Linked DNA regions of Cricetulus griseus. The protein of the gene in region 1 binds, or shares a complex with, the protein of each later gene. Links are inferred from orthologs where the notes say so. Each region holds a gene or a part of one and is shown in the gene's direction. Other genes may lie near its edges.

Region 1 (3,650 bases):
CAACCTTTGTGTGATGACCCACTGGGTGGCCTGTGCCTGTCTGGTTTCTCAGAACCTCAGGCCATTCAGACCCTGCCCCTTGATTGACGATTCACCCAAGCAGCTTGTGCCTTTCTTGCTAGATCCTTGCTTGACAAAAGCCACTGGGTCTTGCTCTGCTCCACTCACTGGGAATAAGCCGACCAAAAATGCTCTTCCCGGCACTTTGTAATCACTGCGTGCTTGAACCTCACCCTCCTGCTCCACCTTCAATAGACCCGCTCTTCCACCTGCCGCAAAGCTGCTTTTTCATTCACTGATGGCTCTGCCTTCCATTCAATACCAACCATTGGTCTCTGGTGGGGTTATCCACTTCTGACCATTGCCCTGCACGTGAGGCTTCCTTTCTGGAGCATGGTCCTTTCCTCCCCTCTGGCTTTTCTCGAAGTCCTGGTAGCTGGGGACTGTGTGTCTCTTGAGCTCAGAGCCCTTGGTCCCCACATTTCAGTGACGCCTCACTGGGAGGCCTGTGCCTGTCTCAAAATCAACCCTGTCTGAATTCCTGGGATGCTAGGAATTGCAGACCCTTGGGTCTTACTTCTCTGCCTCACTCATGGGAGCTGTGTCATCGTCTATACCTCCTTGCTCCCACTGGAATGTTTTTTGGAGAGTCACTGACCATTATTTATTATATATACAATGTTCTGCCTGCATGTATCCCTGCAGGCCAGAAGAGAGTGTCAGATCTCATTACAGATGGTTGTGAGCCACCATGTGGGTCCTGGGAATTGAACTCAGGACCTCTGGAAGTGCAGCCAGTGCTCTTAACCTCTGAACCATCTCTCCAGCTCCCACTGACCATTCTTAATCAGCCATTGTGGCAGCACTACCAGCTGTTGGCCATAGAACTGGAGGCACAAGATTATCAAACATGACCAGGTGATGGTGTGGTGATGGGAAAGGCACCTGATGGTCCCTTTCCAAAGGGCCCTGCCTACATCCATCCTTCTCTCTTTCTTTCTCTCCCCTCCCCCTCATCCCCCTCTTTCCCCTTCCCCCTCTGTCACACTTTCTTCTCTCCTGCTGCTCCTGTCCCTGGAGCCAGTCTCCCCCCTCCTCTTTCCCCTTTTTATGATCCCTTTCCCTAATAAAAACCCTCTGCTTGAACCCTGTAGCGTGGCGTCTTTCTCTCCCACACTGCTTTTCTTAAGTTAAAACAAGATGGTCCTGCCTTGCAGAGACAGAGGACTGACTTGTAAGCTCCTTGCTTTTTCCTTCCCAGTTGCAGGAGATTAAACCCCTCTGCAGTCAGGTTTTCTGCTTTAACATCAGTGTCTGTACTTTGAGTAAAGTGGAACTTGCTGCAGATGAAGCCGGGGTCTTTGTGTGTGACATGAGTCTCTCCCCTCAGCTGGTCCTCTCCTCCTCCATCTTCTTGACTGGGTCCGACTGCACGTGTGTGAGGTAGACAGTTTATCGGCAGATGTTCTGGGCAGTGAGAACCCAAGCAAACATGAGAGCTTCTGGAACTTGGTGAGTATAACGTGGGCAGCCCCCTCCTTCCTTCTGCCTTGCATTCTGCATCCTGGTGCTGTCAGGTGGCTATAGAATGACGACTGCTCCAGGCCTTGGCTCGGCTCTTTTGAGTTTCTGATCCTAGCAGCGGTTTTACATCTTTCTTTGTCTGCTGCAGAGTAGTTTCAAACTAATTTAGCATGAAGGGTAACACTTGCTGTTGGAAAGGAAGTTTGATTTGTTTATAGAGCTGAGGAAGAGAAGGTAAGATGGTCAAAGTGGTTGATGGGGACTAAGGTGGGGATGGAGTGCAGATGAGCACAGTGGCTGTTCTGAGGTAGACTGCTTAGGGCCGTAATGTAAATAGCAGATACTTACATTAGGATTTATAACTGTAGCTCGGGGTGGTGGTGGCAGCGCACGCCTTTAATCCCGGCACTCGAGAGGCAGGGGCAGGCAGATCTCTGTGAGTTCAAGACCAGTCTGGTCTACAAGAGCTAGTTCCAGGACAGCCTCCAAAGCCACAGAGAAACCCTGCCTCAAAAACAAACAAACAAACAAACAAGGATTCATAACAGTAGCAAAATACAGTTATGAAGTAGCAATGAAGTAATTTTATGGCTGGGGTTCCAGCATTAGTAAGATTGAGAACCACCGATCAGGGGCTTGTGGCATCCTAGAATACCTGCCGGCATCTTCGAGATCACAATCTCTAGCATCACCAAAAGAAAAAGAATATCCTTGGTTGTTTTATTTTTGGTTGTTGTTGCTGTTGGTTTTTTGTTGTTTTTTGTTTTCCTTTGAGACAGGGTTTCTTTGCTGTGTGTGTTTGTCTGTCCTGGAACTCTCTGTAGACCAGGCTGGCCTTGACACCTTGACTCACAGAGATCCCTACCTCCTGAGTACTGGGATTAAAGGCTGTGACACCACTGCCTGTCTGCTTTGGGTTTTGAGACAAGGTCTCCTTATGTAGCCCTACTGGTCTGGAATTTTTGTTGTTGTTGTTTTTGACAGGTTTGGGTGGCGTGGTTGCCTATGTTCCCAGTGATGTGGTGCTGGGGATGGCCACCAGCCTAACTCTTAAGTTCAGTGAGAGATCCTGTCTCTAGGGACTAAGTCATAAGTGCTGATCACCTGATAGTCCTCTGGCCTCCTCATGGTACACAACTGTACACACACACACACACACACACACACACACACACACACACACACACACACACACACACACGGGTGTTAAAACATTTAAAGTTGGTTGCCAGCTATCTTTAAACTGACAGTTTGCTAAAGGAGTCATATCTTAGGGTTGTTATTCTTGTGATGAAATACAATGGCCAAAAGCAACTTGGGGAGGTAAGGGCTTAATTTACATAGCCCAGAGTAATAGTGCATTGAGAGAAGCCAAGGCAGGAACTTAGACTGAGTAAGATCCTGGAGACAGGAGCTGAGGCAGAGGCCATAGAGGGGTGCTGCTTGCTGGCTTGCTCCTTATGGCTTGCTCTGCCTGCTGTCATACAGAACTCAGGACCACCATCCCAGGGATGGCCCCACCTACCATGGGCTGGGCCCTCCCAAATAAATGACTAATTGAGAAAATGCTTTCCACCTACCTACAGCCTGATGCTATGGAGGCATTTTCTTGGTTGAGGTTCTAGCCTCTCTGATGACTGTAGCCCATGTCAAGCTACTTTAAAATCAGCCAGCACAGGGTATGACTGGGAGTCACTGCTGGAAGGGAGGAGTTCTTGCTGACTCGGGTCAAGGGCAGCCTGGAGGCATCAGCACTTTGGAGTAGCGAGCCTTCTGCTGGGGGCTCTTGGCTCCCATCTCTTTGCAGGTGACTGTCTTGGTGCTTCAGGGCCGGTTGGATGAGGCACGACAAATGCTGTCCAAAGAAGCTGATGCCAACCCCTCCTGTGCAAGCATGTGCCGCATCCTTGGGGACCTGATGAGGACAATGCCCATTCTCAGTGTATGTGGGAGCCTCCTTGCCTGCCCGGCCTTGGGAGATAGGGATCAGGGAACGTGTAGGTCTGGGGTCTCAGTGTCTCACAGCAGGCCTGTCCCGTCCCGCAGCCTGGCAACACTCAGACGCTGACTGAACTGGAGCTGAAGTGGCAGCACTGGCGTGAGGAATGTGAGCGGCACTTGCAAGA
Region 2 (3,650 bases), on another chromosome or scaffold:
TGAGCCCCAGAGTTATTTCCTGCGTCCCATATCCAATGAGTTAGGTTGGTGAGACATACAGTGAATAATTCCACATAGTCTAGTGAGTTCTTTCAATAATTGAGTGGAGAGCTGTTAAGTAGAACAGAGGAACATTGGCTTCTTTCATAATTTTATATCATGAGGGGAAAATGTTTCCATTTAGAGTGTGTTGTAACTTCCACTCATTTGCAAGATAGCTTTGAAATAAATGGGTTTTCTCTGCTTCCGATGACCAGGAGGACCGTGTAAAGGTGGATGTGATTGACTGGCTGGTATTCGACCCAGCACAGAGGGCAGAAGCACTGAAGCAGGGCAACGCCATCATGAGAAAGTTCTTAGGTGGGTTGTCCTCTCACATTTTATCAGATCCATATGTTCTTTTCTTTTAACTTTTGTTTTTGCAGAACATTTCATATATTTCATAAATAAATGAGAAGGAGGGACACTTGAGATAGCTTACATTAGTACCAGGGAGCAGGGTGCTCTTGGGCAATCAGTTGCCTCCACCTGTGTACCCTCAGTGATCCAGTGATCCATTGGAAAGCCATCTGAATTGACTACAGCATTAAGTAGTCATCTGTTCGTTCAGTAACTGTTTATTGGGGCTGAAGAGCTGGCTCATAGTTGAGAGCACTTGCTACTCTTGAAGAGGAACCAAGTTCAGTTCCCACCACCCACATGGCAGCTCACAACCATCCATAGTTCAGGTCCAGGGGATCTTCTGGCTCCTGTGAGTACCAGGTCCACACATGATGCACATAATTCATGTAGGCAGAACACTCATATGTGTAAACACTGAGTAACCTGATAATGACAGGCCTATGCTAATTATCTCTAACATACTCAGTCTTTAATACTAAAGTCACAGTTTTGACCTTTGCCCATTATCAGTGACAGGTGCTTGTTGTTACTACATCTATTTAGTATTTGTTTTTGAGTGGGGAGTATGTGTGTACCATGGTGCATGTGTGGAGGTCAGAGGACAGTTTACTCTTCTTACAACTTCTCTCATTCCACCATGTTGGGCTTCTCAATGAGCATCTTTACCTGCTGAGACGTCCCCTCAGCTAGGCCCTCACTCTTACAAAGCACAAGTTGCATGGTCTCCTGGGTCAGTAGTTTGTTTGTTTGTTTGTTTACGATTTATGTTTATGGGTATTTTGCCTGCATGCATATATGTGTTCCATGGATCTTCTAGAACTGGAGTTACAGACAGTTGTGAGCTGCCATGTGGGTGCTGGGAATTGAACCTGGGTCATCTAGAGAGCAGTTGGTGCTCCCAACTGAGCCACTTCCACAGCCCCAAGTCAGTAAGTAGTTCTTTAGCAGAAGCTGTGAAATATATCTCCAAACAGGAACACTTGACCAAGGACCACACTTCACGTGCATGTAAAAGGCTGAGAATTCCCACAAAGAGGTGCATAGCATCGATCCCCATGTAGCAGGCCATATGCTAGCGTAAACAGCTGAGCAAAGCTGTGCAGGAATCCCATCCAGGTACTCATTATAAAGGTTTCCTCATGTTGTTCAGTCTCAGAGTAAATTGACTTTACGAACCATTAGGGAATCCATTATTTAGTAATGTCCTAAAATAAAACTACGTCTTACAAACAAAACTGTATTAATAAACCACAATACCAAATTTGTGACAGCCTAGAAACAGGAACTAAGAAAAGAAAAACTAATGCTTCAGAGATTAAGAAGCAGTTACGTAGTTCACCATTCCTGAGGCAGAACTTCTAGGACTGTACTGCAGTAGAGAACTTGAGCTGAGTGCAAGCAACCAAGAGAGTATGCATGCATCCATTTCTCTGCACCCCTGACTGTGGGTGTGACACATGCATCCATTTCTCTGCACCCCTGACTGTGGGTGAGACACATGCATCCATTTCTCTGCACCCCTAACTATGGGTGTGATGTGATGCATTGGTTTGGATATGAGATGACCAGCTGTTATGAGGTTTTGCTGCCTTGACTTTTCTGCTGTTTTGTGTATTATAACTTGGAACTGTGAGCTAAAGTAGACCTTTCTCCCCTGTGTTGCCTTCTCTTGGACTATTTTATCATAGCAGCAGAAAAGAAATTAGGACACTTTCCAACATGGTTTGCAACCTGAAAATCACAGGCACTTGCTTACAGTCATCCTAAAAATGGTACCGTCAGCCAAGAAAGCCTTCCTTGCTGGAGAGATGGCTCAGAGGTGAAGAGCACTGACTGCTCTTCCAGAGGTCCTGAGTTCAATTCCCAGCAATCACATGGTGACTCACAACCATCTATAATGAGATCACGTATGCCTTCTGGCCTGCAGGCATACGTGCTGGCAGAACATATAATAAATAAATCTTAAAAAAAAAAAAAAAGAAAAAGAAAAACAAAAAACCCACCAAACAAAAAAAGTTCTAGATGGAACTCTGGCTTTGCTGTGTTACTAGTTAAACCTTGAAGAACTGGCTTCCCCAATACTGGGAGGGCTTATGTAGCAGGCGTGTATCTGGGGGAAGATGCAGCCCACAATTTCTAGTCCCACCAAAGGGGAGAAAACCAACTATTCTGTCAGGCTTTGTATCATGAAACCAAATCCATTTAATAGTAAATTCTTGCTGTAGTAATCAGCTTTGTATATAGTGTCATAGCCTCAGACTTTGGGAAATGTCACTTCTCTAAGACATAGATGTATGTGAAAGTAACTGTCTGTGTTACCTTACACTGGGAAAGAGCCAGCCCACTAGAGATATCTCCAAGACCTTTGGAGAGGTATGAGAACTGAAATATAAACATGTAATCAGTGATTTGATACTGTAAGAGGCCAGTACACAGACAATCTAGATATGGTATCACTCATCTTTAATCCCAGCACTTAGGAGGCAGAGGCACAGGCAGGCCTCTGTGAGTTCAAGGCCAGCTTGATCTATATGGTGAATTCCAGGACAACAGTATATAGAAGTCCATATATTTTGAGGTTTTTTGTTTTTTGTTTTTTTTCTTTTTCACAGCATCAAAGAAACATGAAGCTGCAAAAGAAGTGTTTGTAAAAATCCCTCAAGATTCCATTGCAGAAATCTATAATCAGTGGGAGGAGCAAGGCATGGAGAGCCCACTTCCTGCTGAAGATGACAATGCTATCCGAGAGCATTTGTGTATCAGAGCCTATCTGGTGAGACTGAACAGAGAATTAGTCTTTGTGATTTTCCCGATTCACTCTTGGAACTTGACTACGTGTATAATTTTTCATTTTTAATTGTGTGTAGGTGTGTGCTAGTGGGGATGTGCATGTGAGTGCAGGGGCCTGTGGAGGCCAGGGGCATCCGAATCCCTGGAGCTGGAGTCACAGATACTTGTGAGCTGCCATGTGGGTGCTCTTAACCCCTGCTGAACCATCTTTCCAGCACTTGAACTTTTTCCAAAAGTGATGATGATTCATCTAAGTTCCCCTGTGATGCAGGGCTGACTAACTTACAGGATTGATGCCATGACCTTGTCGTTGACATGTGTCTGTCCATTGCTGATTAGGCAGGAATAGACGTGTGTGGTGCCTGGAACTTTTTCTTTCCTTTCTTTTTTATTTTTAAAGATTTATTTATTTATGTATATAGTGTTCTGCCTGCATGTATACTACACACCAAAAGAGG
Region 3 (4,106 bases), on another chromosome or scaffold:
TGTGTGTGTGTGTGTGTGTGTGTGTTTGTGCCACAGTCATGGCACCTGTAGTCAGTAGACAACTTTTTGGGGTTGGTCTCTTATTCCACTATGAGTTTCTAGCAGGTTGCAGGTGGTGGAGATCAGACTGGTATAGAAGTGCTTTTAACCAATGCACTATCTTTGCTGGTCTGTTTAAACTTCCCTTTTAAAGGCGTAACTAAGTAGTAATAGTTTGTTTCTTTTACTTCCCAGGAGTCTGAAATTTATGTGTTGTAAGAATAAGCTTAATATTAAATGAGAGCATTTTTATCGATTTATTATTTCTATCAAGTTCCTTTGAAAAAAATCATCTCACATTACCAGGCAGTGGTGATGCATACCTTGAATTCCAGCTCGTGGGAGACAGAGACAGGAGGATCTCTGAGTTTGAGGTCAGACTGGTCTAAAGACTTGCAGGATATCCAGGGATGTTAACACTGAGAAACCCTGTCTCAAAAAAGCAACAACAAAAACAAACAAAAATTGTCTTGTTATTTTTCTGTAATTTATTCCTTCTAATTTAATTTTGTCCTTTGTTTCAAACATCTTCATGTAAATGGTTTATTTTCAGATTATCTAATAATTTAATATTTAATAATACCAGGTATTTTATTTGGTGCAAACATTCGGTTAAATGGAAAGTAGACTCCTGACTTTGATGCCATTCAGTTTAGCAGGTGAATGATCCAGGTGAGCTTCAGGAGGCCTGGTGGGTAATGAAGACCATGGGCACATAAACAGTGTTCAGCACTAGAAAATACAGGACAGAAGCAAACAAATACATCTCAAATCGCACACAAGTTGAAAACGGTGGTTTAGGTAGTTTTTCTGTAAATAAACTAACAGACCAACATAATGATGAGCCTACTTTAGTTTGTCTTCGGCCTTGGTGGTGCACATCTTTAATCCCAGCACTTGGGAGGCAGAGGCAGGCGGATCTCTGCGGTTGAGGCCAGCCTGGTCTACAGGGTGAATTCTTGGAATCACTTGGAAACGTTGAAAAGGGAAAACACTTGGTGGCTTAGTAGTTACTGAAATAAGAATGGAGAACAAAGCCCTCAGATTTACGTTTTGACCTTCTGAGTGGCAAGGGCTGGATCCCCAGTGACTGCTTGTGCTGAGCATTTTCCCTTCCCCCCCCAGAGCGCCCGAACCCAGCGTGGTGACTGACACCGGCAGCAGGGCCAAAGGTACTTGATTGACACGAACGGTGACCAATGAGAACAGAGGGCCGGCGAGGCTCCCGCCCCAATGGGCCGACTATTGGCAGTCTTCAGCCAATCGCAACCAGAAATCTCTGTTTGGTGGGTGGTCCCGCGGCCGGGAGGTTGGTGGCTGTTGAGCGGTTCCCGTGGAAAAGTCCTTGGGCGGAACATCTTGGCCGGAAGAGAAAATGAGTTTAGCTTTGAGGTCGGTAACGAGGAGGCCGTGTGTCCATTCCGCAGAGGGCCAGGGCGGGCGCGGAAGGGAAGCCGGGCCGGGCGCGGGTGCAGAGCGCCGAGCATCACGGCGGTGCGGCCCTTTTCTGCGGACTGCGCCGGCGCCGCATCGGGAGCCCAGTCTCGCGAGGTTTCCCTCCTGCGTGTGAGGAACTCGGGCCTGGCGGCCTCCTTCCTTAGGACAAGCGTGGGACAGCCAGGCTCTCTCCGCGGTCGAGGCGCCCTGTGCGTCGGCCGCCCCGGCGGATCTGGTGCCCTTGATTTCCGCCATTCTCGTCCAGGCACCCACCTGGCCCACTGGCTCCCATTGGCTCCTCACCCTGTCCATCTTCACGTGCAGGCGCTGTAGAGTGGGTAGACGCTGATGGCCCGGCGGGGGTGTGGCCCGGCGTGGGTGTGGCGGGCGGCCACCTCTGCTCAGCCCCTGCCAGCCTTCTGCCCTTCAGGTGTAAAGAGCCTACACACTCAGCCGTGTTTCAGGCTTTCAAGCTTCCATTTCTTAAAACCTAGCGGATACACGTGTTGTGCCTCATTTAAACATTGGCAGTCTTTAAGGCAGACGTTTTTGGCCCTAAATCCCTTTTTAGATGTTCTTTTACGCTTCTCCAGAGTTTTTAAATGAAGACGTTTAACCCATTGTTTATAGGTTGAGACTGACAACACTTTTAAACATCACACAGACTCAAATAGGAACATTATATGCTATTATTTTGGTCGTCTAGTATTTGTTTAGGTGCTTTTATATTTTGGCTGGTTAATATGGAATGAAAACACAAAGCACTGTTAGAAATGTATAATCTGAAAGCATTTTGAACTTGCAGTGTTAAAGTGACTCACCTTATAAGCTTTATGGTTAATCTTTGTAGTAATTGTGAGAATTTAATTAGAAGCTGTCCAAGGTAAACCATATATCGTGGTTGTCATTTGTGAAATTTACTTTCACATGGATTTTTATATTTGTTTTCATGCTCTTGGTAGGTAACATGAATAACAACTAATAGTGCTTTGGATTTTGGTATATAAAAGTACATTTGGAGTACAAGACGTTGACTTAGGGACAGCTTCTTTATTCTCCAGACTATTCTGCTTTGTTGAAGTTTAGAAAACCATTCTTTGTTCTAAGTGAGTTGGGTTGAAGTGGACTAAACACATTTTCCTGTGTCACAGAAGTGAGCTTGTAGTAGACAAAACAAAGAGAAAAAAACGAAGAGAGCTCTCTGAAGAACAGAAGCAAGAAATTAAAGATGCCTTTGAGCTCTTTGATACCGACAAAGACCACGCAATAGATTATCATGAATTAAAGGTAACAGTGTATTTGATGACACATCTCTTTTGTTTAAATGAATTGCACTTTTGACTGTTGCTTTAAAGTCTATTTTAAAAACTTGTTTTAGAACCCTGAAGCTGTTTTCAGTATCCACTTACAGGGGCTGCAATAAAATTGAATAAAAAACCCTAATATGGCTTTTAGAAACTCGTATTTAAATGTAAAAGTACATTTGGTGGGAAGTAAGGCTTTTTCATTCACCCAGGTGAAAGAACAGTTCTTAGCTTATTCTTCCCATTTTTGGTTTCTTCTGGAGGACGGAGTAGCTCAGATTCTTTAAAAAAAACATGTATGTGGCATGTGCATGTGCATGTGCCTGTGCAGGCATGTAAACCACATTGTGTAGTGTGTGGAAGGCAGAGTGGGGCTTTGTGTATCTTTCATCACCATCTACCTTACTGCCTGGAGACAGGGCACCTCACTGAATTGGAAGCTCATAGCCTAGGTTGGCTAGAGAGTGAACTCTGGAATCACATCCCGATCTACCCCTCAATGCTGGGGTTACGGACACTTGTAGCCATGCCTGTCTTTATGTGGGTGGTTACAGTTCCAGTTCTGGTCCTCGTGAGTGCAGGACAAGCGCTCTTATCCACTGAGCTATCACTTAAGCACAGCACAGACAATTTTCAGATTGAGAGAGTGTTACCTTTGCTCAGATGTTTCCGAGATTGAAAATGTATCCTTTCAAGCTTTTATTATTTATCTTTATTTTATATTTTTGTTGGACAAGGTTTCTTTATGTAACAGCCCTGGCTGTCCTGGAACTCAGCTTTGTAGACCAGATTGACCGAGAACTCAGATTTGTTTGCCTCTGCCTCCCAAGCGCTGGGATTAAAGGCATGCAACACCACCACCTGGCTCAATCTTTGAATTTTCAAAGATAATACGGACAAACTCTTATTTTTCTTTTCTTTGCTACAAAGGATGTACATTGTCTGATGCCTTATGTTGATACATGCTGAGGGACTATGTCAAATTTAAGGCTTAAAATTACTAGTAAAGGAGCTGGGCGGTTGTGGTGCACACCTTTAATTCCAGCACTTGGGAGGCAGAGGCAGGCGGATCTCTGTGAGTTTGAGACCAGCCTGGTATACAAGTTCCAGGACAGCCTCCAAAGCCACAGAGAAACCCTGTCTCCAAAAACAAAAACAAAAACAAACAAACAAACAAAAAATCCAAAACTACTAGTAAAGATTGGAGAAATTGGTGAGGATCTTATTCAGTCTACTAGCATTTATGAAATCTTTTAGTAGCCTTAATGTTTATAGTAGTTTTAATTCGGCAACATTGTAGGGGGGTTTTAAGCAATCTAAGTATGG

What was found.
Region 2: Nup85 (region 1) and Nup107 share a complex: the UniProt entries of both Homo sapiens proteins name them as parts of the nuclear pore complex. The link is inferred for Cricetulus griseus from reciprocal best matches to the Homo sapiens genes NUP85 and NUP107.
Region 3: Nup85 (region 1) and Cetn3 share a complex: the UniProt entries of both Homo sapiens proteins name them as parts of the nuclear pore complex. The link is inferred for Cricetulus griseus from reciprocal best matches to the Homo sapiens genes NUP85 and CETN3.

The regions. Positions count from the first base shown.
Region 1 is NC_048600.1:128,167,578-128,171,227, forward strand, and holds part of Nup85 (nuclear pore complex protein Nup85), read left to right. Parts: intron 1-1,390; coding exon 1,391-1,512; intron 1,513-3,331; coding exon 3,332-3,466; intron 3,467-3,570; coding exon 3,571-3,650. UniProt on the Homo sapiens protein: Essential component of the nuclear pore complex (NPC) that seems to be required for NPC assembly and maintenance. As part of the NPC Nup107-160 subcomplex plays a role in RNA export and in tethering NUP96/Nup98 and NUP153 to the nucleus.
Region 2 is NW_023276806.1:138,599,948-138,603,597, forward strand, and holds part of Nup107 (nuclear pore complex protein Nup107), read left to right. Parts: intron 1-257; coding exon 258-360; intron 361-3,014; coding exon 3,015-3,175; intron 3,176-3,650. UniProt on the Homo sapiens protein: Plays a role in the nuclear pore complex (NPC) assembly and/or maintenance. Required for the assembly of peripheral proteins into the NPC. May anchor NUP62 to the NPC. Involved in nephrogenesis.
Region 3 is NC_048595.1:302,231,489-302,235,594, forward strand, and holds the start of Cetn3 (centrin-3), read left to right. Parts: upstream 1-1,296; 5' UTR 1,297-1,414; coding exon 1,415-1,431; intron 1,432-2,627; coding exon 2,628-2,763; intron 2,764-4,106. UniProt on the Homo sapiens protein: Plays a fundamental role in microtubule-organizing center structure and function. As a component of the TREX-2 complex, involved in the export of mRNAs to the cytoplasm through the nuclear pores.